Rhinolophus ferrumequinum: one gene and its partners. The protein of the gene in region 1 purifies or fractionates together with the protein of each later gene. This does not show direct contact. Links are inferred from orthologs where the notes say so. Each region holds a gene or a part of one and is shown on either strand. Other genes may lie near its edges. The genes, in order: CUL1, FBXL5, FBXL15 and GLMN.

The links.
Region 2: the proteins of CUL1 (region 1) and FBXL5 purify together in Homo sapiens (affinity purification with western blotting; 11 studies listed by BioGRID and IntAct, counting the BioPlex papers as one, with this or other methods). This does not show direct contact. The link is inferred for Rhinolophus ferrumequinum from reciprocal best matches to the Homo sapiens genes CUL1 and FBXL5.
Region 3: the proteins of CUL1 (region 1) and FBXL15 purify together in Homo sapiens (affinity purification with mass spectrometry; 9 studies listed by BioGRID and IntAct, counting the BioPlex papers as one, with this or other methods). This does not show direct contact. The link is inferred for Rhinolophus ferrumequinum from reciprocal best matches to the Homo sapiens genes CUL1 and FBXL15.
Region 4: the proteins of CUL1 (region 1) and GLMN purify together in Homo sapiens (affinity purification with western blotting; 4 studies listed by BioGRID and IntAct, counting the BioPlex papers as one, with this or other methods). This does not show direct contact. The link is inferred for Rhinolophus ferrumequinum from reciprocal best matches to the Homo sapiens genes CUL1 and GLMN.

The regions. Positions count from the first base shown.
Region 1 is NC_046309.1:4,750,915-4,758,405, reverse strand, and holds the start of CUL1 (cullin-1), read left to right. Parts: upstream 1-4,475; 5' UTR 4,476-4,617; intron 4,618-4,721; exon of another isoform or gene 4,722-4,831; intron 4,832-4,932; exon of another isoform or gene 4,933-5,096; intron 5,097-7,491. UniProt on the Homo sapiens protein: Core component of multiple cullin-RING-based SCF (SKP1-CUL1-F-box protein) E3 ubiquitin-protein ligase complexes, which mediate the ubiquitination of proteins involved in cell cycle progression, signal transduction and transcription.
Region 2 is NC_046288.1:78,682,106-78,689,972, forward strand, and holds the start of FBXL5 (F-box/LRR-repeat protein 5), read left to right. Parts: upstream 1-4,861; 5' UTR 4,862-4,954; coding exon 4,955-5,038; intron 5,039-7,867.
Region 3 is NC_046299.1:22,595,784-22,602,278, reverse strand, and holds FBXL15 (F-box/LRR-repeat protein 15), read left to right. Parts: upstream 1-3,902; 5' UTR 3,903-4,039; coding exon 4,040-4,092; intron 4,093-4,262; coding exon 4,263-4,416; intron 4,417-4,702; coding exon 4,703-5,208; intron 5,209-5,652; coding exon 5,653-5,842; 3' UTR 5,843-5,986; downstream 5,987-6,495. Other genes in the region: PSD (PH and SEC7 domain-containing protein 1), read right to left, coding at 1-389, 1,623-1,679, 2,889-3,126; CUEDC2 (CUE domain-containing protein 2), read right to left, coding at 6,271-6,417. UniProt on the Homo sapiens protein: Substrate recognition component of a SCF (SKP1-CUL1-F-box protein) E3 ubiquitin-protein ligase complex which mediates the ubiquitination and subsequent proteasomal degradation of SMURF1, thereby acting as a positive regulator of the BMP signaling pathway.
Region 4 is NC_046292.1:69,720,783-69,728,791, forward strand, and holds the start of GLMN (glomulin), read right to left. Parts: upstream 3,008-8,009; 5' UTR 2,580-3,007; exon of another isoform or gene 2,507-2,579; intron 2,085-2,506; 5' UTR 2,048-2,084; coding exon 2,009-2,047; intron 1,583-2,008; coding exon 1,457-1,582; intron 1-1,456. Other genes in the region: putative RNA polymerase II subunit B1 CTD phosphatase RPAP2, read left to right, coding at 3,098-3,170, 3,886-3,931.

The DNA of each region.
Region 1 (7,491 bases):
CAATTCCATATGGTCCAACCTAATAGAACATTACAAGGGTGTGCAGATCGCCCAGGGCAGACCTCAAAAGCTTCATTAATTCATGACTATCTTAGAACAGTGTTTTCTGTCTTATGGGTCCCCAAAGCAAGAGGCTTATGACTTCTCAATATGCAAAATCTGAAACTGGACAGATTAGATTTTTAAATCGTTCCCTCTTCTTCCCTCATTCCCTTCCTTTGCTAACTGCTCTGCTCCTTACATCCTCTGACCCAACCAAGGCCGGTGCCTCCCCTGAGGTCCTCAGGGTTCTCCCCAACTTGAATTACCCCAAACTCTCCATTCTTTAAGAGCTGATTTGTGTTAGAAAGCAGGCAACCTGACTGAATTAGTTAATGCTGATGTGTAAATGACACTTAAGCCCTGTTTACCCTCCCAGAGCTATTTGGGTCTTTAAGAGAGAATACAGGGAATCTGGTTAATTTCAAGCTGTTAAAAACAAGCCCTTTCTGTATTTGTTTGTATAGGCCATTTATAAATCAAGAGTTCAGAAGGTGGGGCTACCCATTCTCTGTTCCCCATCGATACATATTTAGTGACTTTGGTAAGTAAATTTCTGCTTCCTATTTTATATCTAGTTACATTTAACATCATTAAAATATTGTTTATTTGGCATTTGATGGACCAAAAGGAGCTTTGAAAGTTTTTTCTAACGAATTCAAGTAGAGGATTTAAAAACCTGCTCCTTCAAAAAGAATTTATGACTCATTGTCCTAAGTGAAAGAAATCATGGTATTATTTCATCTCTTGCCTGCATCTTTTGAATACTAAGCTGTGAATGACTCTGTATAGTTATAGCATATGTGTAGTTATTTTTCTAAGAGAAACTAGTTTTGCAAAAAAAAAATCCCGCATAATATATATTGCATGATTTGGATTAAAAAAACAAATTTAATTGAAAAATCTGTTTACTTGGATCCTCTTCCTTAACATACACTATTTCAAAACAAATAAGTCTTATTGTAATATGTCATAATGCTAATACCATAAGTTTTAAGGCCATAACATTTAAAACTTTAACAGAAGGAGTGGTTCATTAAATCAATGGTTCCCAAACTCAGGTCACCAGACTGACCTTGGGTAATTATATCATCACCATCATCATCTTCACAATGTTTATTAAGTATTTAATTTGCAACAGCATATGAGATACTATTATCATCCCCATTTTATAGATGAAGAAACTGAGGCACTGAGACATTAAGTAACTTGCTCAGTTACCCAGGTAATAAATAGTAAAACCAGGATATAAACTCTGGCAGTTTCAGGTTTCCTCCCCACCCCTTCCCACCCAATTTTGACTCAGTACATCTGGAATGGGCCTTGGAATCAGAATTCAAGTCCCCAGGTGATTCTGAAGCAAAGACAGGTTTGGGAACTATCGCATCAAATGAATTTACTTTGCACGGGATAGCTAGTTCCTTACTCATGTCTTAGAAATAACAGCTCATATGGCTAGTCAAGTGACGCAGTACCCTTTCACTTCATTGGTAAACACATATGTTTGGACACTCTTCAGTGTTCTTCAGGCACAATGCCGAGGGGTCTGGTGTACTTTAGGAAATAGTGCCTGGCCCAAAGCACAGATCCGCAGAAGGCAACTTCAGGAGGCACATAGAAGGCACGTAGGAGAAGCTGGTACTCAGGGAGAGATCACAAAACCTGGGTAGAAGGTGCAAAGTGGGCTTCCTAGGAGGGGTCATGAGCTGGATTTGGAAAAAGGAGCATGATTTGCGGATGCAGGAAAGGAGGAGGGAACTATTTCTGTTAGGGGAACCAATGTCAGCAAGCACTCATAAGTGGCGATCCAAAGCCGTTATCTGTAGGCCAAATGTAGGCCCAATAGACCTAGATGAAGTTGAGAGATCCTTTTGGAAAGTGGCTGGAAATAAATTGGGGAAAGTAAGTTAGGACAAGATTATTATGGTAGTGCCAAGTCAGAGTTTGGACTGAACCCTGTAAACAATGGGGAGCCACTGAAAAGTTTCAAAGGACAAAGATACAATGATGAAGGTCACTGGAAAGAACCATCTGCAGTCAGTCACTGCACAGGCGGCTGGAAGGGCAGAGATCAGAACCAGGAAAACTACTCAGAAGGTTAAAGAAACAATATAGGTGTGGGGAAATATCATAGTACAGGAGTGGATATATGCCGATTTGGGAGTCAGGTGATGTCACTGACCAAGCTGAGTGATTTGGAGCACATTGTCTAACATCTCCAAGTCTTAGGTTTTTCTCATTGGAAAATGGGTGTGATGATGTCTGCCACCCAGACTGAGACAAAATAAAAGACTTCTCTATGATGGGGACTAGCTCTGGGATGCAAGGTCAGTGGGTCAGGATTTGGAGTCTTCAGGCCCTTATGACTTAGAAAATGTTAGTGTTATCAATAGCAGTAGGGGAGTCAGTGGACCACCACTTAATGGTAGGTGAGGAAAGAAAGGGAACTAACAGTGAGTTTTCAGAAATTATGCTGGAATTATAAAGGAATTACTCTTCACTTAGGAGGTAGATCTTTTTATCCCTATTTAACAGTTACTAGAGCAAAAGATAGTAGTTTGAGTCTGAGTATAAAACAAAGTCTGCCTAAATCTAAAACTTGGCTTTTTGAACTTCATCATATCATTTGGGACTTGTAAAGTTCTATTATTTCACTGGTTTTGGCTAAATAGTCTAATCTGAGACTATTTTGCATTTTGATTCTGACATCTATCAAATTAATGATCCCTCCTAACTGTGGTCATCTTAAAAAGGGACATCAGTTTTGCTATGATGGCGGAGAAAGATGGAGGGAAGAGGTTTTGCAGCGGAAAGTAGATGCCCTGGATCCATCAGGTACGAGGCAAGAGTATCCGCCCAGAGTGGAAGTAGTGTAGATGCAACCTGGCTGTGAAGTGCATAAAAGTCAGTGGAACAGTCTAATTGCTAAGAATGATGATGTAGACGGGTGGAGAGGAGGGGATATAAGGACGTTAAGAACCAGGAATTGAGGTGGTGAGAAGTGGAGGCACAAGTGGACTAAATACTGCCATTAGGCAAAAATAGAAGGTGGCGGAAAGAAATAGTAAAGGGAACGCTGACCCACTCAACTAGTGTATTAACTGTGGGAAGTCACAGACAGGGAGACCATATTGAATGATGAGAGTGGAGAAGACAGGTTAGGGAAGATGGAGGTAAGTTGTTGTCTGAGGAAAGCACAGGTTCCAATAGGCGAAGAAATGAAGATATAAAAAAAGCCATATATGTTCTGTGGAAAGCGCTGTCCACAGGAACAAGTCTTCCATTTTTACCTTCAATCTAGTCTTACCATGTGCCCATAAACAAAGTTGTTTCAATACATCTAAATTTTCTTTTGACTAGGTTGTATAGAAGTATAGGATATAAACCAAGAATTGTACATCCTTGCACAGACTGAGATTACATACTTTGGTGACAAGTGCAGACAACGCAACACTTCTGAAGATATTTAACAGATGTTGACAATAGGCCACATTTCAATAGGAGGAACCACATATACTGGTGGGACATGTCTCCTAAGAGAAGCCCATGTGACTCAGGAAACTGGACTCTGGGGGTGGCCCTCTGCTCAGGGCCTAGGATTGCTACCCCAAGGTGTACCAGAATATCTGTACTGTTTTAGTTTAGAGCAAAACTAAACTAGAGGAAGTTCCACTCATCGTGTCTTTTGCCCAGATAGGATCATTTGAAATCCTTCCTTGCTTGTTCATGCAATTAGCCAGCTCTCTGGCATGTTGTGAACCATGGTACTCCAAGGCCCATGCTTTCTCTCTGGCACCGTAGCAAGCCAGGTGCTGCCAAAGTCTGTATTTAGAGTATTCCAAGTCCCCAACGGTGACAGTTCAATTTCAAGTGAATGCAATTAACTACTTCAGACTACACGTGGAAAAGATAGTGTTTTAGTCACACCTCATGCCATCCTTTTATGTAAATGCTTAAATTCTATCCTTGATTTGTCTTTACAAAGAGTAATGGTAAAGTGATTCTTTGTCAACATTTGCCCCCTCCCCCCCCAAAGAGTTGGTTCAAGTTTGAAGCGGGAAGCGTCGTATAGTTTTATCTTAGAACCGATTCTAAGGAGCGAGAATGAGGCTCAGAAAAGCTCAGGCTTTCAGGTGCTGATGGCTAAGGCCTCAGGTGAACAGGGGCTCCAGAGCGGACTACACGCTTCTCCGACGTCTGCGCCTGCTTTTCAGAGCCACTTGCCCATCTCCGCCGGTCTCATCAGCCAGCCGGGGATATTCTTTGGTAATAGTCCCGGTCCGGGGAGGCACGTTGATTGGGTGTAGTTGTAGCCGTGTTCCAAGTCGGTTCCGGGTGTGTGTGTGTGCGCAGGAGGAGGTGGAGGACCCTCTCCTTCGGGGTGTACTGGGCCACTTTCTCCAGAGGTCCGTGTCCCGAACCTAAAGCGGTGACCCCTCCTCGTTGGGTCGGAAGTGGCGGGAAGCCGGTCGTTAAGAGGCGGCCCGCTGTCGAGGGAGGCTGTAAAACCTGGAGGAGGACCCGGTCCGCCCGGCCCGGGACGGCGCGGGGTTCCGGGCAAGGGGCCCCGGCTTTCAGGTAGAGATCCCCCAGGCGAGCGGAGCCTCGGGCGGCGCGGGACGGGGGACCCCGGGGCAGTGGCCGCGGCGGGCGGGAGGTTTCCGGGCCCCTCCCGCGCTCGGGCTGGTGGGGAGATGGCGGCGACGGTTTCCCGGCTCCCCCGCCCCGGACGCCGATGGCGGTGCGTTCCGGCCCTCCCCCCCCAGCCTCTCCCCCACGGTAGCCGGAGCCGGTGAGGCCGGGAGGGCGGGGAGCCGGGGAGGAAAGGCGAGAGGGCGGAGGTTGCGCGGTGCAGGCGGCGGCGGCGGGAGGAGGGCCGCGGGCGGGCAGGGGAGGAGGAGGAGGCGGGAGCCGTGTCGCACGCAGCTCCAGGCGGGGCAGCCCCGGCGGCTCAGGGACGCAGCCAGACCTTGGCGGGACGGGGATTTAACCGGGGCCCAGGCCCAGCGACCAGGTGGAGACGTCGCCGGGGCCATTACGGCAGCAGGGACATGCGGGTGAGTGTCGCGGCGCCGGGGCCGAGGAGAGGGGCGGCGCAGGCCCGGCCCGGAGCCGCGGTGTCGCAGTGACTGGGGCCGCGGCGGCCGAGCCCAGGCGCCGGGCGAGGCCTGAGTCGCCGAGCCGCGGCGGGGCGGAATGGCGGCCGGGCAGGGGGACTCGTGGGCGGAGGACGCTGGGGGCGGGAGCCGAGCGAGCGGGGCCGGCCCTGAGTCACGGCGGCCGGCTCGGGCCTGGCCGGGCCGCGGCCCCGGACGCGGGCTCGGGGCGGCCAGGCCTGGACTACGCACTGGGAAAAAGCCCGATTCATCGCGCCGGCGCCGGCGGCCTTGTGGCGCCAGCCTCTTTCCCCACCGCGACCGGGCTGGGGCTGCAGAGCTGGGCCGGCGGGCGGCGCTGGGCAGTTCGGCCATGCGCGCCTCGCCTCCCCTCGTGCGGCGACCCCCACGGGGCCTCGTGCCCTTTCCCCTCGGGATCGCTTCCCCCCCGAGCGTCGCGTTTCCCCCGACTCGTGCTCGCCAATAAGTAGTGGGCTCACGCGCCGGGGGAGCCGCGGAGCCGGCCGCTCTGCTTTCCGGTTCCCTGCCCGCGGCTCTCGGTTCCCCGCCTGCATTGTTGCGACTGTGCAGGTCACTATTATTGGGTAATAGTCGTCGTTTTGCTCCGTTCCCTCGGGGGAACGGGCCGGGTAGGCGCGCAGGGATGCGAGTGCAGCCGCGGGACCGGACGGAGCCCCCCGGCGCTCGCGCGTCGGGCCGGGCCCGCGCCGCGGCTTCGGCGCGCCCCCGAACCTGCGCCCGGCGGGAGCGCGCGCTGACCCAGCAGGTAACCCGCGCGCGGCCCCGGGGCGCTCTCTGCCACCTGGGGAGCGCGGCGCACTGTAGACACGATGATGGTCAAGAGAAAGGCACATGCTTTATGAGCGTTCCTGGAGACGAATCTCCAAAGTTAAGGGTTTTCTCTCTAGCGATCCCTGTGCCGAAAATAGGATTCTGTTTTCCGATTGGATGGCTGCTGTTGCTTTTAGTTCGTAATTGGGGTTAGTGGTTAGCGTGCAAATACGGAATTGCAGTTAACTTAGGTATTTATTTGCTCTGTGTAATGGGTCTTCCCCGGGTGACATTAAAACAGTCCAAGTTAGTCGAGTAAATGGTCACGCTGTTTTTGAAAGGCACTTATTGGGTGACAGAGGGGAACTAAAGTCACTTTTACTTTAAGCCCTGAGCTTCTAGGACCTAAACATATCTTTACACTCAGCAGATGGGTGTGCAATCTTAAGTGTAACATTCCCTTTTGTGGCCACCCTGTCCATCTGACTTTCTGAAACCCTGGAGAGTTTGTGTGTTGTGTAGCAAAGGAGAATGATTAAAAAGCAAGAGCAATCATTGGGTTTAGAAAAAAATAGGATATGAGATTTTTTGTTTGTTAAAAAAGGTTCTTGGATATTAGAAAAAATTTTACTTGAAAGTTCTGTTTCTGCTTTCTATGGCAATTGGACATCGTTGCATCACATTTCACATTCCGAAGCTGCAAACACAGGACTGGCTCCCTTTAATTCTATTATGACCATTTTTGGAGGTTTCAGGAGTGCTCATTAAGCTTAAGAAGGTTGGCTGAATTATTCTCTAAAAATGTTTCAACTTTTTTTTTCTCATTGGTGTAATCTTTTAAAAACTATTTTGCCAAAGGAAAAAAAAGACTTTAACTATACTAGAACTTTTAGCTAATTTATGAAATCCACCCTCCTTGTGTAAGATCACAAGCTCAGGTCCTTGCAAGCATGCCCCTCCTCTCCTAATGTACTATCAGATAAAGTATCAAGAGGACCAAGGGACAAATGAATGCCTGAGCTGATACTGCAATTTCCTTAGCTATTACAGCTTCTTGGACTCCTCTGCCTCTTACTGAATGTTATCTTGTGTCTTAATTGTCTCCCGTGCATTTCAGACTATGAGTTCCTCGAAGGGAGGGGATCGTCCTTAGTTATTTTTGCATCCCCAAAGTAGCATAGGACTTGGTCATGGGTAACTCAGTTGTTTTTTGAAGGAGTAAATCTTCTGGAAAAATTCCAACCTAATGTTTGACCACTTCTGATTTTGGCTGCAGAGAATAATCACTGCACTTACACTGGTTAATAAAGAATGCAAGCTTTAAAGAATAAGAAAAGAAAAACAAAAAAGAGGCAAGTTTTATTATAATTCTTATTGTAGTGTTCCAGTATCCAATAGAGGGCCCCAACAGAAAAAACGCTCAGGTTTTCTTGAGCTGTTGCAATCCAGGAAAGTGCCAAGAAAACAAGTTTTAAAACTTGAATTTGCTAACCCCCAGCTGGTTTTAAGGTGTAGATTTTGTCTATTTTTTAAGAAAAAGACCGAGCTCTTTTTCCCGGTAGAT
Region 2 (7,867 bases), on another chromosome or scaffold:
GCAATTAGTACTGTTGCTAATGATTATATATAATCAAACATTATTTTCCTTTAATAGAATTTTTAAAGATTTAAAATTTATGGCCCAAATTCTTTTAAAATGTATTATTATTAATGAATTTTTATAACTGTAAGAGCACTAGGTGAACATAGTAAAATACTAAAATTGTACCATATTTAAGTACACGGTACTGGGATGGTTCTGCTTTCCATCCCGGAACCCCTGCTCACAATTTTCTGCTGTGTTATTCTAGAAATATGTCCACTTTTTTTTTTAACACAAATGAGAGCATATTTAACAAAGTGTTCTATACATTATTTTTTTACACTTAGTAATACTTAGTTTCACAGTAAACAGATTTATCTTATGTATTTTACCAGATGCATATTTGTCCATTGAATGAATGTGCTATAATTTAATATCTAGTATCCTATTGAGGGACATTAGATGTTTTCAATTTTTTGGTCATTGTGCAAAAGTAAGTTTTATTATATTTTCAGTATTTAAATTTATAAAAATAAAGTAAGGGATTTAGGCAAACTGCAGGCCTACATATATTTGATTTTCAGAGGTCCATTTGCATATAAAGTACCCTAAAGGAAAATGAAAAAAAAAAAAAAGGCACGTAGCATCTGGCATTGCATTTTAACTCAGTGCCTACGCGTATTTTTTCTTTTTATGATGCCATCACCCTACTAAAAACTTTACTGCTAGATCAAGCTAGCCCTGCTGTAGCAGTTGCTGATTGGCTATTTTGACTGACTCAGGATCAAGTCTGGTACTGAGTTAGGACTGGAATTCCAACTGTTTTACAATAGCAACATTCTTTCATTGCTTGTTTTCACAACTAACCCCCTGTTGGGGAAAGTGCTGTAGCACTACTCAAATAAACAGAGTTAAATGCCTTAGAATTGACTTTCCCTGACCAGCAACCCTTTCCACAGCCCTGAAACTAGGGTTGGAAAAGAGGCCTCATGTCATATTTTTAGGTCACAAGGGAATGATTTGGCATCTTTTGTTTTTCCCTGTAGCATGCAGTTTTTCAGAGAGAATGAAAGCAGGAAAGAAGGAGCCATCAATCCACTAGGCATCATACAATGTGGATTTTTCACTGCTCTGTTCAAATGCCTTATCCAGTCTCCTTGTGGTGGCCAATAGTTAGATGGCCTGCTAGGATTCCTTTGCTGTTGTATAGCATAAGAAATCAGAGAGGTAATTAAACCGATAACCTTGGCCTTAATAACAGTTCCTGATCTGCTGTAGTTGCAGTAACCTACAATAATGATACTAAACTGATCAATGTCTTCTTTCTGGGGCTAACGTTTAATGTAAACCAATCATTTATCTGGATATATCAGGTTATTAATTGCTACATTACTCAGCATATGGAGCTAATATTAACAGCTTCTTTCGAAGGGAAGAATGACCCACAGGACTTATTATTTATCACTTTATTTAATTTTGTCATCTTAAACAAATTCCCTGAAATGGCCAGAGTCCAACGTGGCTGTTATTACTGTTCAGCTGACTACACAGATTCAGATTTTAAGTAACACTGAAACTGTGTGCATGGCTTTTTTTGTTGTTAAATACCTATTTAATGTGCCTGGTTCTAGGGGGTACACTAGACACAGACAACACAGACACAGACTGGTATTGGGAAATAAAACATGGTGTATTAAAAGTTAGTTAAAATTAGGAAATTATAGAATGCCATGAACTGCCCTCATTCCTTCTTTCTTTATTCAACTAATATGGAGTGGTAACTGTTGATAGGCATTGTTCTAAATGCTGAGGATAAAACAAAGTACATGTTCCCACGGAGTTCATTTCTCTATATAATTGGACCACCTGAGGTCTGATTCTACATTCTAAGACAGCTGGAGTGAAAGATCAGAATGAAAGAAAGAAATAAAGGGAAAATAAGGAAATGTCCTCTGGGGGATATTATAAAACATTGAGGCAAAGCCCTAGTGAAAGAGCAGAGTGTGAGAAGAAAGGAGAATAGGGGAGAAGAGAGAGAGAGAGATAGAGAGATTAAGGACTTTATCTATATTCTATTAAGCATTATTTCTGTGTGTAAATCCTCATCTCTGTCTCTCACACAACTAACACAGTGCTGGGAGGATATTGTTGAACCTAGATTCATATGGCCCGCTTATTTAGTAGTTTGTTGGACCCTAGGAAATTACCAGAATGTCTTCAAGATTTAGTTTCCTACAGCACCACCTCACAGACGTGTTTTTTGTTTGTTTGTTTTTTAATAATAGTTTACAGACATCACTTGTCAGGTACTCTTATAAGCAGTTCAAATATATTCATTCTTAATCGTCACAACAATTCTGTTGCTCAGACTGCTATAACAAAAATACCATAGTCTAGATGGCTTATAAAAACTGAATTTATTTCAAATAATCATTGGAAATCTAAGATCAGGGTACCAGCATGGTAAGGGCCCTCTTCAGGGCTGCAGACAGCAGATTCCTCCTTATGACCTCACATGGTGAAGAATAGACGAGGGAAGCGAGCTCTCCAGTGACTCTTACAAAAACCATCCATCATTAGGGGTCTACCTTCATGACCTGATCTAATCCTAATCACTTCCCAAAGTCCCACTTCCTAACCCCATCATATGGAGGGGGTAACTTTGAACATAAGAACTTGAGGGGGACACAAACATTTAGTATATAGCAGTATTACCTCCATTTTATATATGAGGAAACTGAGGCACAGGTAAGTCATGTAGCTTACTGAAGGTCATATAAGTGTATCAGGCTAAACCAGAAGTCTAACTTCATCTCCAGAGCCTGCTTTTAACTACGGCTCATATTGTCCGTCAATAAATGGCACACAGTAAGATTAGAAATAAACAGACACACTCTATTGCAAGGTTCTTTCTCATCTTCTTCTACTCCATCATTTATTGGATATTTATCAAACCCCTATGGTGTCATGGAACTGTGATAGGCAATGTGGATATAAGGGGTAAACAACATATTTGGTTCTTGCCCTCCTGGAATTTATGGCCACTGTCAACTGAGCACAAAGAGTCAGGAGGCTCTGGCTAGAAATAAATAGCAAAGATTTATTCGAAGGTCTTGGGGTTTGCAAACCAGCAACACAACTAAGCAACACCTAGAGTATTGCTGAAGAAGTATCTTCTGAAGAAGAAAGAAAAGCTGAGTTCTTACTGAGTTCTTATAGTAAAAAGTACATTCTTGAGAAGAATCAGTCCTGCGTGCTTAGCTTCTGGATTGGTCCCACATTGTAATCTTCCAGATGTCTGGTCTGAATAATGGATGTCAGGTGGTCTGGACAGTGAACATCCTTTTCTAAGTCCTTCATGGGGTAATCAGAGGGTCATCTATGGGATACACACACACACACACACACACACACACACACACACACTCCTACCTTGTTTTATTGTGCTTCGCTTTATTGTACTTCACAGATGTTGCATTTTTTACAAGCTGAAGGCAAGACCCTCCAACAGCAAAAAGATTATTTCTCACTTTATTGCAATATTCGCTTTCTTATGGTGCACTGGATACAAACCTGCAGTATCTCTGAGGGGTGTGTGTGTGTGTGTGTGTGTGTGTGTGTGTGTGTGTGTAGCTCAAGGCATAACGGGAGGGTTCAAAAGTTTAAGTTCCCAGGCTAGTTAAAACAAAAATAGAATGTTTCCTGCCTCAGCCCACTTGATTTTAGTAAATTGGTAGCTTGACAATAGTGACTCCATTTTATTTCTTCACTCTTACCTCACGATTAAGCAGGAACATTAAGCAAGTAATCCTACCCAGGTTCTCAGACTTCCCTGTTTTCTCCCATTTCTTTGTGTATATTAGTCCAGCCAGTGGGGGTTGATCAGGGTGAGTGGTGTCCATCACAAGGGCTCCCTAGGTCTCATGGAGGGCTGGGTTAGGGACCAGGTGACCTGTGGGGAAGCGACCTAATTGAACTTCCTCTTGGCAGTGTGATCTCTTTAAGTATCCTTCTTTCTCTCTGAGCCTGCTTAAAATGGAGGCACGTGTACCAAGGTTCTTTCCGGTACTAACCTGTGATTATTCACCCCCCAACCCCCATCCTTAACCTGGCATTGCAGGCCTTGGGGTGCCTTCCCGCCTCCTTAATACCCAGGAGACGTTTTTTTCTCTCCTTGGAGTCTCCAGAATTGCATGCAGCCCTTCGCCCCAGAAACGGTTGGAGATGTTGGTCTCCTTGGTTTCCGCCCTGTCCCCAGACCCAGACCCTGGCGTCTGCCCAGAGCTGCCAGCTAGAGCTGCCGGCTGGAGCCGCCAGTGTCCGTCTTTGTCACGCGTCGCTGTTTCCCGGTAGGCGGCAAGTTCTTGGAGCCCCCAGTCCTAGTTCACCAATCACTGGGGCCTTTGACCAGCGGGTGGGAGCCCAACACCCGGGAATCTCAGGGAGGCAAAGGGCGGCTCAGGGGGGCCTCAGTCACGCACAGCACAGTCCCCCTGGCACACGGGGCGTCTGGGTCCACAGCGCCCAGGTAAAGCTCTCCGCCCGACTGCGGGCATTGTGCTCCGCCGCCTCGGCCTCAAGGCCTGGTGGGTGTATCGGCACCGAGAAAAGCCCTGAGAGCGCCCCTAAAACGACACCCCGTCTCCTCAGATAATGTGTTTTACGTTGCAAAACAAACAGGTAAAAGACTTGGTTTCTTTCTGCCGCACAAGAAGAAGCCAAAGAATGAAAATAGTGGAGGCGGGAGACGCCAGTGCGACCAGCCGCCGCGCACCGGGTCACGTGGGTCGCGGGGACCGCATGGCGGCGGCCCGCGCGTCCCCGCGTCCCGACTGGCCCGGCAGCCCGGGCGCGCGCGCCGACGGGGCGGGCGCATGCGCAGGGGGGCGCGCCGCCTCTGCCCCGCGGCGAGGGTGTCTATGGAGAGGCGGCGGCCGCGGCTGCTGAGGCGGAGGCTGAGGCAGCGGCGATGGCGCCCTTCCCCGAAGAAGTGGACGTGTTCACCGCCCCACACTGGCGGATGAAGCAGCTGGTGGGACTCTACTGTGACAAGGTAACGGTGTGCGGGGCCTCTTGCTCTGGGCGGCGCGGGCGGAGAGGAGGAGCCGGCCGGGTTCCTGGGCGGCCAGGCCTGCGCCACTGCCGCAGCCCCCGGGACCGCGCCGCACGAATTGCCGCCTGCGTAGCTGTCAGCGCCGCGCTCTCTATCCCACACTTTCCCCGGGGAGCCCGCATCCCCGTCCGGCCGCCAGCCTCCGACGTGCCCTCGGGGCTGGCGGCGCGGCCCTCCCAGCCGGGGGGGCCTAGCACCCGTCGCCCTCGGGGTCGGCTTCTCGCAGGCACGCTGGGGCTCCAGCTGGTGCCCCCTTCGGGAGAGGGGCACCTTCGCTCTCCACTGACCTTCGGGGACTCCAGGTCGGTCGTCACCTGCGGTGGGCTTTCCATCCGCCGGGGTAAGGCCGTTTCCGCAGTTGTTCCCCGCCTCCTCCATCACCAGTGCCCCCTGCCCTACCCACGGCCGGTTTGGGGTCTCCCTAAGTCTTTTTGCAATTCCCATCTATCCTTCTGAACCTCTAGCTTGCCTTCTGGCCGAAGGGGAAGGAACTACCTCTAGCTTATTTTATGCCCCAGCTTTTTACTGGTTTGATTTGGGAGAAAACCCAGGTTTCTTGGTGTAGGAACTAGCGAATCTTCACTCTTCCTTTGTGGTTATTTTTTATCCTTGCAACTTTTACTGTCCTGAGCATATACTCCATGCAGATTTTGTTATAAGACATCTGTTCTCCGTGGGAATTCCTTATGTGGGCTCGAATAAAAGGGGCCTCAGAAAAAGTTGGTTTAACTGTCATAACCTTTTTGGATTCTTAATTGGTGCAACGTAAGCTGAAAAAGCACTTTTGTGGACATAGTTCAGGGCCTTTTGCTGATGATTCTAAAACAATATGAAGATTTCACATTTTTGTCAATTTATGTTGGGGAAAGTCCATATGGATAGCCTGAAAACTTCAGGCAGTTCTGTTTCGTGTAGAAATGAACCAAATAAAAAACATTTAAATAACTATAGTTTAAGCACAGAATTAAACTTCAATGAATTTTCAGAAAGTAGATAGCATTAAGCAGAACCACTGTTAAGAGACGAGAGGTTCCTACAGCCCATTGAGGTGGTTGGAGGATGGCCGGTGTGTTCATTGTTACAGGCTACACTCAAAACCAACAATGTAAAACGCACCCACAACTATCCTTTCCCTTCCTCCATTTTGAAAATTAAAAAATACCTGGTTCATATACAGGTTTAAACACGGCATTCTAGGACAGTGGTTCTTAACCTTGGTTCCTAGTTAGAATCACCCCAAAAGCTGTCCAAAATCCTGATGCCGGAAAACCACTAAAATCAGGATCTCTAAGGGTGGGACCCAGGCATCAAGTACAGTTCACGCGCTGCATAACAACTTTTCGGTCAACTGGGAACAGCATATACAACCTTAGTCCCGTAAGATTATAGTGGAGCTGAAAAATTCCTATTGCCTAGTGACATAGCTGTTGTCCCCAGTGCACTATTCACTCGTTTGTGGTGATGATGCTAATTTAAACAAACCACTTGCACTGCCAGTTGAATAAAAGTATAGCACATACAATCCTGTACAGTACATAATACTTGATAATAATCTACTGTGTTACTGGTTTATGTATTTACTATGCTTTGTATCGTTATTTTGGAGTGTACTTTTTCTACTTATAAAAAAATCTTCTGTAAAACGGTATGTCATGTTACGCCACATTTCTCTTGGTGGCATTATTTTCTCTTGTGCTTGATTTAATCTTGTATTTAATACAAAAACAGGCTTGTAGACTAGGAGTCATGGGGTATACCATATAGCCTAGGTGTGGAGTAGGCTATACTTGGATGGTGTATCTACGTTTAAGTACCCTCTTCGATGTTTGCACAACGAAATCGCTTAATGATGAATTTCTCAGAACGTATCCCCATTGTTAAAGGGCACATGATTGTGTAATTTAAAACTCCCTGGATGAGTCCAGTGTGCAGTCAAGGGTGAGAATCACTTATCCAGGAGAAGCATCGAGAATGGGTAACCCATTAGTTAAGCTGAATAACCCCGAATTTTTGTAGTTTACTGTAGTGTTTTTATAATAGTTCTCTGGCTTTTGAACTTAGTTATTCTGACAGTATCCTTTAATTGCAGCAAAGAAAAAAATTGGGTGGTTTTTTGTTTTCTCAAAATCAAAATGGGAAAATTAGTGAGGACTACTGGAATCTGAAGTCTTCTCTCCATTTTAGATTTGGCAAGAGATAGTCTGGGGACCACCTGAAATTGTTATGGAAATTTTTCCCTAGGAGGTTTGTGATTTTCATTAGATTTCCAAATGATTGATTTTCTACCACAATAGTTAAGAATCGCAACTTTTATTTAGTTATGTACTAGACTCACCAACCAGCCTTATTGTAAATTTTGAAGAAGCTGATCACTAATTCCGTATGTCATTACCTGGTGATTGAGAACATTCGAACAAGTTTTGAAAATACAGTGCTGTTTTAAAAAACAATATTGGAGTCAAATAAGATTATTTTCAGTAGTTAAATGTTTCCTCTCGCATTAACTAGGAAGCATTTTCAATTTGACATAGCATAAGGGAGAATTATCACTAAATCTGAACTAATTAGATGTAGTTAATGAGATTTTGTATATATTCATCAAGAAGATTAAGAGTCCAATTTTCTGAACTGTGGATCAGAGACCAAGGTGATTTAGGGAAGAAGAAAAAAAAAACAACTGCAAAGGAATTCTACATCCGGATTTCTTCTTGATACTACTAGGTAATGGAAATATCTCCTAGTATGTCCTTTGGGAGCTAGGGTGGAAAA
Region 3 (6,495 bases), on another chromosome or scaffold:
GCGGAATATGACCACGGAGCTCCGGGCCCCTGGAGGGGGCTGCCCAGTGGGTGAAGAGGGTGCCAAGGGTGGGGGAGCAACACGGGGTGAGGGGGGGGCACGCAGGGGCGTACAGGGTGCTGTCACACGTCCCAGTTCCCGGCCTCGGGGACCTGCCACCCGTCGTAGCAGGGAGCCTGTGCTGCCATACATGCTGGCTGGGGGGCTCTGGGGCACGGGGCCTTCGGGGAGCCATCGGCGCGGGCATCGTGGCGGGGAGATGGCACAGTCGCCTTCCGAGCAGAAGCGCATGGCACCCTGGGCCATGCTGGGGCCGGGGGTCAGGCTGGGGGGGCAGGGATGGCGAGGCCAGGCGGGGAGTGAGGGGGCAGCATGCTCTTCAGACAGGTCTGCAAGAGAGGAAGGGGAGCAGGGAGTGAACTGCTGGGGAGTTGGATGGGCAGGAGAGCAGAGAGGAGGGGAAAGCCAGCTGGGGCTGTTGAGCACTAGGGGACTAGCCCACTCTGAGAATATGTCATCATTGGTACCAGCCCTGGGGGTGATCAGGCCTCCTGCTTAGGCTTCTTCCATGGAGGCCTGAGGAGAAACGAACTGTCCCCCCTAACAGGACCCTGGATCCTCTCCTTCTGCCTGGGGACCCTGAGCATCACTCCGGGAGGACAGAGGAAGCGATTTCAGAAGTTGAGTGAGCCCAGAGTCCCTGTGGCATTTTGGAGTTACTTTTGGTGGAGGAGGGGGAAGGCAAGTACCCCGCCCTCTGAACCAAGAGTGTCAGCCATCCATCACTATCATACAGCCATGAGTCCCCCACAGTCCCTCTCTTGGAGGCCCCAATTCAGGCCCCCTGGAAGGAGAGGAAAGAAGAGGGATTATATAGGGACCATGAGGAGCTGAGAGGCATAGGGTGAAGGGGAGGAAAAAGGCCTAAACAGAGGTCACTACCCCTAATACATACATGCTGAATAGGAAAGGGACACTCTTGTTCTCCATACAGGTACACATAATCACGCACACACACATGCTTAGGGACAAATATGTCAGTATACAGTTAAACATATTCACAGGTTACACCTTCCAGCGCACACAGACACAGGCACACACACACATTGCTCAAAGACACACCCTCATACACTCTCATGGTCATAACAAATATGCCTGTAATGGAAAGGCACATGCTTGTTTTACACACACACTGTCATCAAACAGGAGGAACACACAAAGAGATACCCAAATATACACACAAGCCTTCATTCTCTCATGCACAGACACACAGGCATATCAGATACAGAGACCTACTGGTAACAATCACACACAAACACAGATGCACATTTACACACATACTTAAGCAGGGACACACACCCTTTCCCCCAACCCCCACCAGTCTCTGGCCTCTGGAGGGGGAAGCTGCACCAGACCACTCTCCTCCTCTTCCCCTCCCCCCGCCAAGGGTATAACAGATCTTGTCCAGACCAGGAGGGACCATAAAGGGGTAAAGGGGCTTCTGGTGGCAATGCAGGGTAGGGGCAGAGGTCAGGGGCAGCAACCCAGACAGATTCCTGAAGCTTCATTGGGGCCCAGCGTATCCCCAGTGCAGCCCGGACTCGAGCCGCCTCAGTACTCACCGCTGCTCGCCTGGAGCTGGGGCCGAGGAGGCAAAGGAGAGGCTGGGCCAGGCTCAGCTGTGAAGACAGCGCGGCTCCCGCTTGCTCCCGCTTTCTCCAGGCCCGCCCGCCTCTGAGTCCCTCCTCCTCCCCCCTACGCGCGGCTCCCGCAGAGCTAATCCCACCCCCACCCCCCACCCCCGGCCTCTCCCAGGGCCTTGGGCCCCGGAGGCTGCCCCCCCTCTCGACGTTAGGTCCCCGCTGGGCTCTCGCGCCAACCTGAGACCTGCCCCTGACGAAGGGGAGGACATATGGAGCCCCTGATTATGTTCCCAGGATCTTCACGTGCCCCACCCCAATCGTGTCCACGTCCCTTTCGCCCACCGCCCCGTGAGCCACACACAGGACCCAGTTGCTCACGCGTGTCCCGCTGCAGACCCCACGCGTGTCCCTAGGAGGTTGCCACATGACCTGTTACATGCCACAAGGCGCTCCCGCCCCCACGAGCACACGGCCGCGCCAAGCACACGGTATGGGTGTAGACCGGACCCATCCCCTAAATCCAGAAGAGCATCAATTTATGGGAGAGAGATTTAGGGAACACTGCCTCAAAGCCTCCAGGTTCTGAGTCTTGGACCCAGGACACTCAACCCTGACCATAGGTGGGATATTAGTCAGACTTCAGGAAGAACTTCCTTGCTGCCTGAGTTAGGTGTCCCGCCCGTCTGAGGGTAAGAGGTTACGCGGGATGAGGCTGGGACTGGAGGAAGTGGGGGACAGGCAACCCTTGTGCCCTTGGCCAAGGTAAAAGGGGGCCCGATTATTTTAAGAAAGCGCCGCTAGAGTCACTATGGCAACTGCTCTCCTTGGGAAAGCTATGGCAAGCAGATGGTGACCTCGGAAGGAAGAAGGGGTCTGGTCGGGGGGGAGGGGGCTCGAGGTACGTGCGAGGCGGGGGCGCACGGGGCTCACCGCGGGGAGGGGCGGCGCGGGCTCCGCGTGGTGCTGAAGGGGACAGCGCCAGATTTGTCGCACTGCGCAGGCGCAGAGGCGCTAACAAAGCAGGGGAGGGGGAGAAGGCGCGCGGCCCGAGGTGGTGCGCGCCCACGTGGCTCTTAGCAGAGGTCGATCCTTCCAGCTATCCCTTCCCCTAGCAGGCTGAGGAAGAAGGAGCAAGTCCCTCAACCAAGTTGACCCTCTTTGGTCCTTCCTTGCTGCTGGCTTCTCTCTTCTCGCTGCATTGGGGCACGGGGGAATTTGGAAAGAATTCTGGGAAAACCAGGATACCTGAGTTCTCTATCCCGACTCGCTTGGCCCTGGACAAGGCGCTTCCTCTCCAGGGTTTTGATTTCATCTGTAAAGTGGAGTGACAGCACAGACCTGCCCACCTTGCAGAGGTGCCGGAAGCCCTGATAATGAATGGGAAGCAGTTTTCGTTATGAAGAGGCAGGTGAAGCGGTTGCACCAAGGGAGAGCTCAACCTTGCTGGGAGCCAGCTTTCTGCGACAGCAGTAGCTCTAGGCATCCTTCACACCGTGGCCACCGATGGATGGAGATAGCAGTGCTCTAGGGGTTCCTCCCCCGGATTGGACCCAGGAACCAAGACCTGGGCACGCGGTGAGAGGGCGGCGCAGAATCTGCGCTCAGAGCTTTGGGGTGTCACTGCCCCAGGGTGGCCCAGAACCAGACCCCACAACTAAACCCCCAGGCCAACCGAGAAGCAGTACTCTTGGAAGGCTGAGCATGCGTTCTTCTCTGGACTCTAGACCTCCTGGGGAAGGAAAGAAACCCGGCTGGAGATACAGCCCTTTAGGGCCCCCTACGTTTCTACCCGCAAGGTGTAAATCCGTTCCTAATCATCCGGTAGCGGAAGGGGCTGGATAGCTCTGTACTTCACAATTAACTAGAAATGGGAGGTTTGGGCAAGTTGCTTGATGAAGTAAGAAAAATTGCAGCTTCGCCCATTCAATTAATTCAACAATTAATCGAGCACCTACTACGTGCCAGACAGTAAGAGGCTGCATAGTTCCTCCCCTTTTTTCAAAGTCAGTAAAAGCGACCAGAGGGCAGAGGGGTAGGCCCAGAACCTTGGAGTCCTAGCTCCGCCCCTTCTGCGTTTGGCCTTGCCTGCTCCTCCCATCACCACTTGACTCAGAGACAATCACTGGCCCAAAACGAAAAAAGAAGCCTGTCTGTGCTGCACCGTCGCATTCTCTAGCCTCGGCTCTCAAGCTCTGCAGCGGAGAAGGCGAGATCTAATGTTACACCACCGGTCTGTTCCGCCCTTAATTTCAGGATCCATCCTTTCAGATAGGATCCTCAGTGAGACGGCACTCGATTAAATCGGTCTGTCACTACAGCCCAAGGAGGCGGGTTCGCGGCGGCTGCTCCTAGGCCAAAGCGTGAAGACCGTACTACGCACGCGCAATAGACAGCCGATGGAGCCACGGATGGAGCCGTCCGGAGGGGAGCGAGAGCCCGGAGCCGTCAGGTACCGAGCACCGGAGGGGCCGAGAGAAGGAAGGACCTGAAAAAGGGGAACTGAACCAGGGCCGAGCCTGGAGGCCGCTCCTAGCAACCGAGGCGCAGGAGCATAACGGAGGCAGACTCGCAGGTAACAGCGGCCAAGGGACGCCGCCGCCAACGCCCCTTTTCCCGCAGGCTCCTGGACCTGCCCTGGGAAGACGTGCTGCTCCCACACGTACTGAGCCGGGTACCGCTGTGCCAGCTGCTCCGGCTGCAGCGCGTCAGCCGAGCCTTCCGGGCCCTAGTGCAGCTGTACCTGGAGAGGCTGCGCCGCTTCGACGCCGCTCAGGTGAGCCGGGTACTGCCCCCGCCTCCAGCCCAGCCCCCAGCCCCTCTGTCTACTCTGCCCGACCCCTTTGGGTCTCCAGGAATGCCCAGGAAGAGCTCCACCCAGTGGGAAGCACTCTAAGGGGCGAGTACTGGGTATCAATTCGGAGGGCACGTAGGGTCTATCCTGGGAGGGCAGGTGGAGGGTCCCCGAGGGCAGGCTGCTGCTAGGAAAGAACTCCTCAGGGGTGGATAGGCAGCGCCCGCCCCGGGACCAGCTGAGAGTCGAGGTGCCTGCCCGCCCGCAGGTGGGTCCGCAGATCCCGCGGGCCGCATTGGCCTGGATGCTGCGGGACGCGAAGGGGCTGCAGGAGCTGGCGCTGGCGCCGTGTCACGAATGGCTGTCCGACGAGGACCTGGTGCCGGTGCTGGCGCGGAACCCGCAGTTGCGGAGTGTGGCGCTGGCCGGCTGCGGGCAACTGAGCCGCCGCGCGCTGGGGGCGCTGGCGGAGGGCTGCCCTAACCTGCGGCGCCTGTCGCTCGCGCACTGTGACTGGGTAGACGGGCTGGCGCTGCGTGGTCTCGCCGACCGCTGTCCGGCCCTTGAGGAGCTGGACCTCACCGCCTGCCGTCAGCTCAAGGATGAGGCCATCGTGTACCTGGCGCAGAGGCGCGGCGCAGGCCTCCGCAGCCTCTCGCTGGCAGTCAACGCCAATGTGGGGGACGCCGCGGTCCAGGAGTTGGCTCGGAACTGCCCGGAACTCGAGCACCTCGACCTAACCGGCTGCCTCCGCGTTGGAAGCGACGGCGTCAGGTGCCTGGGCCTGGGGTCGGTGGGATGGGAGGAGAGCAAGCACTTAGCCTCTGGGTGGAGGGGCAAGCGGTAGAACTGCGGTTTCTGGAGCTTCCTGCTACCATGGCACCCCCATTCTGAACAGGAAAGACCTCTAGGATTGTCTACACCAGAGAGCCCATAGTTTAAAAACTTTTTTGAACCAGTATTTACACATTGGCAGTATTCACGTACAAAGTCAGATTTCTGGCTTTTCTTCAACCAGGGGAGCAGCAGCTCCCCATTTAAGGGACAGTAAATCTCCGTTTCACTGGAGGCATTGAGTGTATGACCCCATTCCAGATCCCTCCGTCGCGTATGGAAGAAAAAAGTATGCCCTGAGATGGAGGGAGACGGGCTTTGCTGGCTTGCTCACCGTGGGTGGAGCGGTTTCATGCCCTTAGTCTTACCCCGCTCCTCCCCCAGGACATTGGCCGAGTACTGCCCAGCACTGCGCTCGCTGCGGGTGCGGCACTGCCACCATGTGGCGGAGCCCAGCTTGAGCCGCTTGCGGAAGCGCGGGGTGGACATCGACGTGGAGCCGCCGCTGCATCAGGCCCTAGTGCTCCTGCAGGATATGGCGGGCTTTGCACCCTTTGTCAACCTGCAGGTCTGATCCGCCCGCGGATGGGGCACAGCTGGACTGTGTGACGGGGCCTGACTATGAACTGCAGGGAAACTGGATTGTGGGGGCCTCTGGTGAAAGGCCAAAGCCCTGCCCCACCCTGGAGCTTCAAATAAAGAGCTTTTTACCCCCTCCTGCCTGGCGCTGCTGCCCTATTGGAGATAGGGGATGTGAGGTTGGGAGAGAAGGTCAGACAGACACAGTCCCCCAACACCCCAGCTCTGAAGCAGAAATGACCAGAATGCACTCATCTTCTGGGGCCACCTTTACTGTGCAGCTCCAAGAGGAGGTTAACACTGTGGGGCAAGGAGGTAAGAGAAGGGATCAGGAGTTAGGGCGGGCCCTGTGGGGGGGTGTAGGGCTCCTGCATCCCTCTGGGATCTGAGCCTAGAAGGCTCTAGCAGAGTCCGGCGAACACCTCAATGGAAGCGGTATTTTCTGGCTGGCTTGAGGTTGATGTATGTGGCCTTCATCTCCTCGGCCTCAGGGTTCCGCACATCTTTGAATCGCTCCCCCTTGGTGCTCACTACCTGGTTGTCAATGTATCGGATTAGCTTCTTGGGGGCCTGTCGGGGAATCAGGCAGTGAGTAGCAGAAACCAGAAGATACTCGTATCCATTCAACACCCCTAGCAAACCCAACTC
Region 4 (8,009 bases), on another chromosome or scaffold:
AACTTCTCTTCTTAGGTAGCCGTTTTCTGTTTGGGATGTTTCTACCCTCTCAGAGGCTAGAAACCTAGCCATCTTTGATGTCTCACTCTCTCTCACCCCCACAATCAATGAGTTCCCTCTATTCTACTCTAAACCTTCCATGCAAGTGCTACATCGTGCTCACTGGAGGCAGAGCCGAGTGGATAAAAGTTCTAAAACCGAACTGCACAGGTCTGAATCCTGGATGCCGCATAAAATCTGTTACTTTTGGGCAAGTCACTTATCTTTCAGCGCCTGTTTCCTTATCTACAAAATGAATTTAACAGTAGTACATCATGGGATTCTGGAGAGGCTACATGAGTTAACAGATGTAAAGCACTTAAGACAGTATCTGACACATAGTAAATACTCAATAAATATTAGCTATTATTAATTTTATTATTACTAGCTAAAAGTAAGGTACTTTGAAAGGTTATCCTCTGAGAATGCAATTGGAAAAAATCAAGGAATTAAAGAAAACATTAAATTTACTTTATTTTGGGCTACAAAGGTACCATAAACACACCAAAAACAAATGTATTAAACAAATGTCCTAATTTTTCTAAAAATATTTTCTTAAATAAAAAAGGGATTGGCCCTTTAAACTACTAAGAGAATTTACAACAATGTGTGATTTAAAAGTTTTAGTAATTTCCCAAACACAATAAAGGTATCCTGGATATAATCACTGACCAGCACGTCTAGATTGTGATAGCAAGAAAGAAAACTTCTGTAGAAATAAATAGCACCATAAAGGAAGAAAAAGTGTGTCCTGGAAAAGAAGATGCTCCTCCTTTGTACAAGAAGCGGAGTCCAAAGACACAAAATTTGGCAGTGTTGCCAACATGTTTCTGAGAAAAAGCTGTTTCTGATCCTCAAAAGATCCTTTCCCATCGCAGAGAATGATTTATCAGACATTCGTAGCTGGATCATATTGGCCAAGTCATTCAGCTTTCCCGTTCTGATTTTATCTACTCAAAATATTATATACCCAAAATGTTATCTTACTTAATATTTGGTTTTCTATATACTTCTGGCTGGAGGAACAGAATGTGCAATCACCAAAAATTAATACCTAGCCTGCCTGATACTTATATTTCTCAAGGTAAATTCGTGACCCAAATGCTACTTGTGATGGTTCAACCAGATGTAATCCCTGCTCTCCTAAAGCACTTTACTTATACTTCAACTATAGCACTTATTTTATTCATTCTGCCTCCTTAATGCTAGTTGTTTACATGTTTGTCTCTTCCACCAGACTGTGAGTACCTTAAAGTATATAGTCCCAATTCCTTTTTTGTTTCTAGTTTCCTCCTGTGGAAATTTAAGTTAGTTGATTCTTAAATGTTTGATGGATAATGAATGGATGAATAATAGCATCGTGTGGATATTCTCTTCCAGGTAAAGGCTGAAAAGTTTGCACAAAGATTATACTTACCTTATTCTTTTCATTCTGAATAATTTCTAATAGCTGGTCTATGTGCCCTTCATCTATGCATCTTTGTCCTGCTAACTGAAATAGACCAAAATCTTCTTCTTTGAAGTCTCGCTCTTCTAGGATTTGCTGGCAAACAAACAAACAAAAACCAAACATGTTTAGGCAAATAAAAATTCAATAATGACTTGATATATTTTCTCTCTGAAAAAAAGGAAATCTGTTTAAATTGTAGGTAAGTTACACATAAACATACGTATGAAAATTAGGATTAGCCTAATAAATACTTTAGTGAATGATCCTGAAATCCACTATATCAAAGAAACCTTTAATAAGGATTAAGATTAAAAATTTTAAAGGTTATTTAGAAAAGTATGTCATTTGGAGAAATAACCCAATTGCCTTCCTGCCCTATCACTATTTATACATAGGTCAAAAAAAGCAAGGATTAAAGAAGATAAACAATTCGAGTGACTACAAATATAATTAAAAATAATCTATGCCCTTCTCATATTTTGAAAGATATTTAACTTTACAAAAAGAAAAATTACTTACACATCTCTTTATTACGGATTGAAGTTCCTCCACAGCCATTCCTCCTTATTTTTCCTAGCTTTGAGACTGAAATGTACTAACATAAAACACAGTTAACTATCAGAAATATTACATTTAAGTATTAATAAGTGATATTTCATTCTGATGAATTTTTAAATACAATAAAGAAAATGTAGTTTTAATGCTGAAATGCTACTACTAAAAGTAGTCTGTTAACCTAAGAAAAGTTTATTTAAAAAAAAACTATTGCACCTTTTCAAGTTTTCTTAAACACAGCTTTGCTTAGTGTAGTTTTGAAAGATACATCCGAAAATAAAAACCTCTAGAGCACTCCCAAAAGGACGGCAAATAGGGACTACACAAAGTGCATTGAAAAGGCAAAGTGTTTCATTTCTGAAAACATTTCCAAAAGGTGGGCCTAAAATCAATTCTAATCAACAGGGAATTTCTCATTTTTTAATGTCCTACTTGACAAAAATTGAAGTCAACACAACTCACCCAGAATGGGTGGAAGTTCAGATGCCCTCCAGCCCCTGTGTGACCAGGACATTTCCCTTAAGAAATGAAGTACCCAAAATAATCAATCCAGTCAGTGAGATCAACCGGCGGCGCTCAGGAGAACCCCGTTCCATTCCCGCTGGCCATCGTTTCTCCCAGCTTGAAGGCCCGGCACCAGCTCCGCAGGAAGGGCGCGCGGGTCCGGGGGTCCTCACCGCAGCGCGCTCCAGGGCGGACAAAACCCCAGCGCGCGTGCGGGCGGCATCCAAGGGAAGCCATTTCTCCTGATTCCTGCTAGTCGTGGCGCTCGGGCCTCACCACTTCGCCGGGCCTAATCGGCCGGCGGCACCGCATCCTCCGCGGCTCAAGGCCCGCCGCGAGCCCCCGCCGTCCGGGACCTCCCGCTGCGTCCACTTACCCGCCAGGACTCTTGCCCCTTTCAGCGTCCTCCTCCACCTCCTCTTCTGGCCGCGTAGGCCGCTCTCCGAGCCCCGCCCCACTCCGGTCGGCCCCGCCCCGCGCTGCGCAAGGGGAGGCGGAGCCTCAGGGGGAAACTCTAGGGTCGGACGCGATAGTCGGACGACGCTCTCCATGGCTGAGTCGGCCTGGCAACCCTCCGCGGGCCGCAAGGCTGGGGCCCCGCGCCCCCGCCGAAACGCCGCAGGTAGGCAAAAGAGCCTCTTTCCACGTTTTGACCCCGAGAACTGAGCCCCTACAGGGTTCTAGATTAAGGCGCGCGGGGTGCTCCCGAAAAGCTTTCTCGGGGGTGGAGGTCTTCGGGGACGGAGAAGGCCAAGAGCTTCCCACCGCCGTCCTCGCGCCCCCTGGGAAAGACCTTCGGCCGAACCCCCAAATCTTTACACTAGCGTTCCAAGATTTTCCCCCAGATGGCCTCTGAGGGAAAGGACAGTAGAGTTCCTGGAAGCCTAGAGCTGGAGTCGCCAGAATGGGCAAGTGAGCAGGGCGGCATCAGCCAGCGGTGTGCGGCTGCCGGTGAACCTCCCATCGGTCCTTCCATTTGTCCTGCGGCTTTGGTGCCCCTGTTCTCTGAGGTATTGGAGAATCACCTCCCTTCTTGCCAGGGAGTGAACATTTGAGGGCCGGAGAGAGGCTTCCCCTAAAAGTACCCAGATTTCAGATTTTTCACGAGTGCTTAAGTATGCATCTATGATACAGGAGAAAATTCAATCCCGAAGGAGATACATGTTAACCAGGAAAAATTTGGGAATAATTAATTTACAAAAACAAATTGGATTCCCTTCCCATTTCATTTTAAATATGTGGAAAAGAAGAAAAGATGATATACAGTTTATTTGGGCAGGAATCTGTTCTATAACCTAATGTGTGCAGACTTGACTAACTTTGTTTTTTAATTTTAGGTACTAAACAGACAGGTGCTTTGAAACAGCAAGATGCTTCTAAAAGGTATGAAAACTACTTGGACAACTGCATTCACTTAGCTGTTTATCTCATATTAATTGAACCATTTTTAAAAACAATAATGGGTGCTACCTTAGAGAAATTTATTATGAGAAGGGGAAGATCTGAAAGCACTATAAATTCTCACATAGACAGTTATATCCCCCTACTCCATGCTTTAAGAAAACCAAATCAGACATTTTTAGGTTGCTGGTGAAGGTGTATGAGTATCTGTAGAAAGGTGTACATGGGAATAGACGTTCCTGAATTAACCAAGTACTCTTTTTCCACCTCTTTGTATACTCCTTTTTTTGCTTTATGTGTTAGAGACTCCAAGAAGCCTTGTCTGTCCCATGTTTGTATCATGTCCAAATTTTCAACAAGAAGTTGTCCTGTATTGTCTCTTGGCTTCTAAAAAGACAAGATTTATCTTCTGTCACAAAATGTTTCTAGAGTAGGAGTAGTCTGAGATGATTAAAAAATACATACCTGTGATACATCATTTTATGAAGTGTTGGCTTTGTCTTAATTCAATTAATCTTTCAAAAATATTTACTGAGTGTAAGATATACCAGACTTGTATTAGGCCCCAAGGATATGGTTTTGAACAGAATAGACATAGTTAACTAGTTGAACAGAGAAATACCAATTAAATTATCAAAAATAGATATATAATTACAAATTGTAATAAGTGCTGTAAAGGAGGAGGAGTAACAGGAGTCCAGGTTAGCTGGAGTTTTGTGGGTTTTTAGGGAAGGACTTTTGAGAACAGAATAAGCTGAGTCCTGAAGGCTAAGTAGACATTAATCAAAGAGTAGTAAGGAGAGACCTATAGTCAGAAGTGGGAGTACGTGTGACAAGAAAGGCACGGTCATTTAAAGAAAGCAGAGATGCCCAGGATGATGTGCCAGCATTCTGAGCAAGGGAAGTAAGGAGCATAGGAAAAGGTTAGAGAGGCAGGATTCCATTCATATAGACCTAATAGGCAATGGTGAGAAATTTAGATTTTCTAAGTGCAAATGGAAAAACTTTAAGTAATAAAGTAATGGAATTTAAGTTTAAAAAGTTTTAAGGTGTTAGGGGAGGTGATCATCTGGGAATGGAGAAATTGGATGAATTGGAGATCTGTTTTGGAAAGTACAGGCATACCTGGGAGGTAGTACGTGTTCAGTTTCAGACCACCACAATAGAGTGAGTTTAGTTAATATTGATAATGATGGTAATTTGCAACTTTCTTCAACACTGATCTGACCACAAACCTGAAGAGATTATATTTTATTTTGAGCAGATCATTCAAGATGATGAAACAATTAAAAATCCATGGGGTAACCAAATAGTTGTTGAGGGAAACGATCCTTTATAAATTTATTCCAATTGCAAAATACTTCTATATTCAATCCAAATGAATAGTTTTAAGCCAGAAATTAAAGAACTTTGCAAAAATATAAAATAATTCCACTATTCACACTAAATATTTTATTTTAATTTTTTATTGGGGAATATTGGGGAACAGTGTGTTTCTCCAGGGCCCATCAGCTCCAAGTCGTTGTCCTTCAATCTAGTTGTGGAGGGTGCAGCTCATTGGCCCATGTGGGAATCGAATCAGCAACCCTGTTCAGAGCTCGCACTCTAACCAACTGAGCCATCTAGCCGCCCCGACACTAAATTTTTATTTCAAAATGTTAACATGTAAATTGTATATTATTATTAAATGAATTAATAAATAAATGGTTTAAAATTTTCTCACTTTTAATCCTACTGTGGTAAATATAATGTACATAAGCAAAAGCTCGAATTTTAAAAGTACCAGGTCTGCCAGTTAAGTTCGCGAACTTGCCACTATGCACTTACATTGGCAGCATTGTACAAAGAGCTCAGTAAGGTTTCATAACTTTAGTATATCAGTGTCTCACAGCTGTGTTCATGTCGACGTGTGGCGGTGTCTTGCTAAGTGGCATTCATTATTGTTGTTGCATGTTTTTGTGTGCCATCTCGCGAATGTCTGTGCTTGAATTAGAGCAATGAACAAACATTAAATTTCTCGTTAAATTTGGAAAGAGTGGAAGTGAAATCAGGGACATGTTAGTCGAAGTTTATGGGGATAATGCTATGAAGAAAATTGCAGTGTACAAATGGATTAAATGTTTTTCTGAGGGGAGAGAACGCGTCACTGATGAAGAGAGATCAAGGCGGCTAGTAATGAGCAGAACTGATGAAAATATTGCAAAAGTTCATCAAATTGTGCATCAAAATTGTCAGGTGACTGAGAAGCATAGCAGACCAAGTAAACATCGATAGAGAAACAGGAAAATCTTAACTGAAAATCTTGGCATGAGAAAGGTGTGTATAAAAATGGTCCCAAAGGAGCTCACCAATGAACAAAAGCAAAGGAGAGTCGATGTTTGCCAAGACCTTTTGGAGAGGCAAGACGATGCTTTAAGCCGTGGTATCACTGGTGATGAAACATGGGTGTACCAATACGACCCTGAAGCAAAGCGTCAAAGTGCACAGTGAAAGTCAGCCAATTCTCCATGACCAAAAAAGTTCCGTCAGTCCAAATCAAGAGTCAAAATGATGTTGCTAACCTTTTTTGATATCAGAGAGATTATTCATTATGAATTTGTACCAATTGGACAAACAGTTAATCAAGTTTACTATTTGGATGTGCTGAAAAGGCGGGTGAAAAAGTTAGACGAAAACAACCTGAACTTTTCGCCGACAATTCATGGTTCTTGCATCACGACAATGCACTAGCTCACACAGCACTGTCTGTGAGGAAGTTTTTAGCCAGTAAACAAAAAACTGTATTGGAACACCCTCCCTACTCACCTGATCTGGCCCCTAGTGATTTCTTTCTTTACCTGAAGATAAAAGAAATATTGAAAGAAGCCATTTTGATGACATTCAGGACATCAAGGGTAATATGACAACAGCTCTGATGGCCATTCCAGAAAAAGAGTTCCAAAATTGCTTTGAAGGGTGGACTAGGAGCTGGTGTCGGTGCCTAGCTTCCCAAGGGGAATCCTTTGAAGGTGACTAGTGATATTCAGCTATAAGGTATGTAGTAATTTTTCTAGGATGAGTTCGCGAACTGAATTATCAGATTTTATATAAAGGAATTCTGAGACCAAAAAGTTTGAAAACCGCTGCTGTATACCACACTACCTATTCATTTCAGACATCGTTTCAGACAGAGGGCAGCTGTGAGACAGGGCTATCCATAGGAAGCAGCTGTAGGTATCCATCAGTTAAGAGGAATGTGGCTGTTATTAACTCTTCAATCAGCAATCCTAATGCAGGTTGTACACTGATCTTAGTATATGACATAGCTTTTATTGGTAGGCAGCAAAATGAGAAAAATTTTTATAAAGTTAAATATAGTCAACATAAAGAACTGCCTTTTAGTGTGTTCATGCCTTGTACTTCTTTGATATAAGCATGGCCTTTATGGGAGAACAGGTGTTAGTTATAAATTTATTCTTGTTTTAATGTCCCTCTTTGTTCCTATTTGGCAATCCTGTGTCAGTCCTCCAAATTGTTTTTGTAAAACATTGCTCCAGGCAAGGAATTGGCTTGAAGGTTTTAGAAGTCAGTGAAGGTAGGGAGAAAAGGTGTGTACCTTCTAGGTTGAGATATGAGTACCAAGTCAAGGTGCAAGAGGCCAGCAAAGGTTGTTCTAGTAGGCAAGTAGAAACCACTGCAGACAAGGAGGAAATACATCACCAAGATAGTTGGTATCTGTGGTCCTATGGCAGTGATTTTCAACCCTGTTTCACACTAAGATTATCTGGAGAACTTTCAAGAAAACACCAATAACCAGGCCCCATACTCAGAGATTCTGGTTTAATGAGCCTGCAATGGGACCTGTGCATAGTATCTTTTTCTAAAAATCTCATCAGATGGTTCTAATATACAGCAAGGATTGAGAACCACTGTCCTAGGGCCATTGTTTGATCTGGTAGGCTGTGCTTTTTGTGTTCTATAATGTATGAGGCAAGCAAAGGCTGACAGAGACCCATTGGTGCCAGGCAAGGACCCACCCTCCTAGGAAGATTGCTGTTTTTCTAAACCACAGTCATATCAG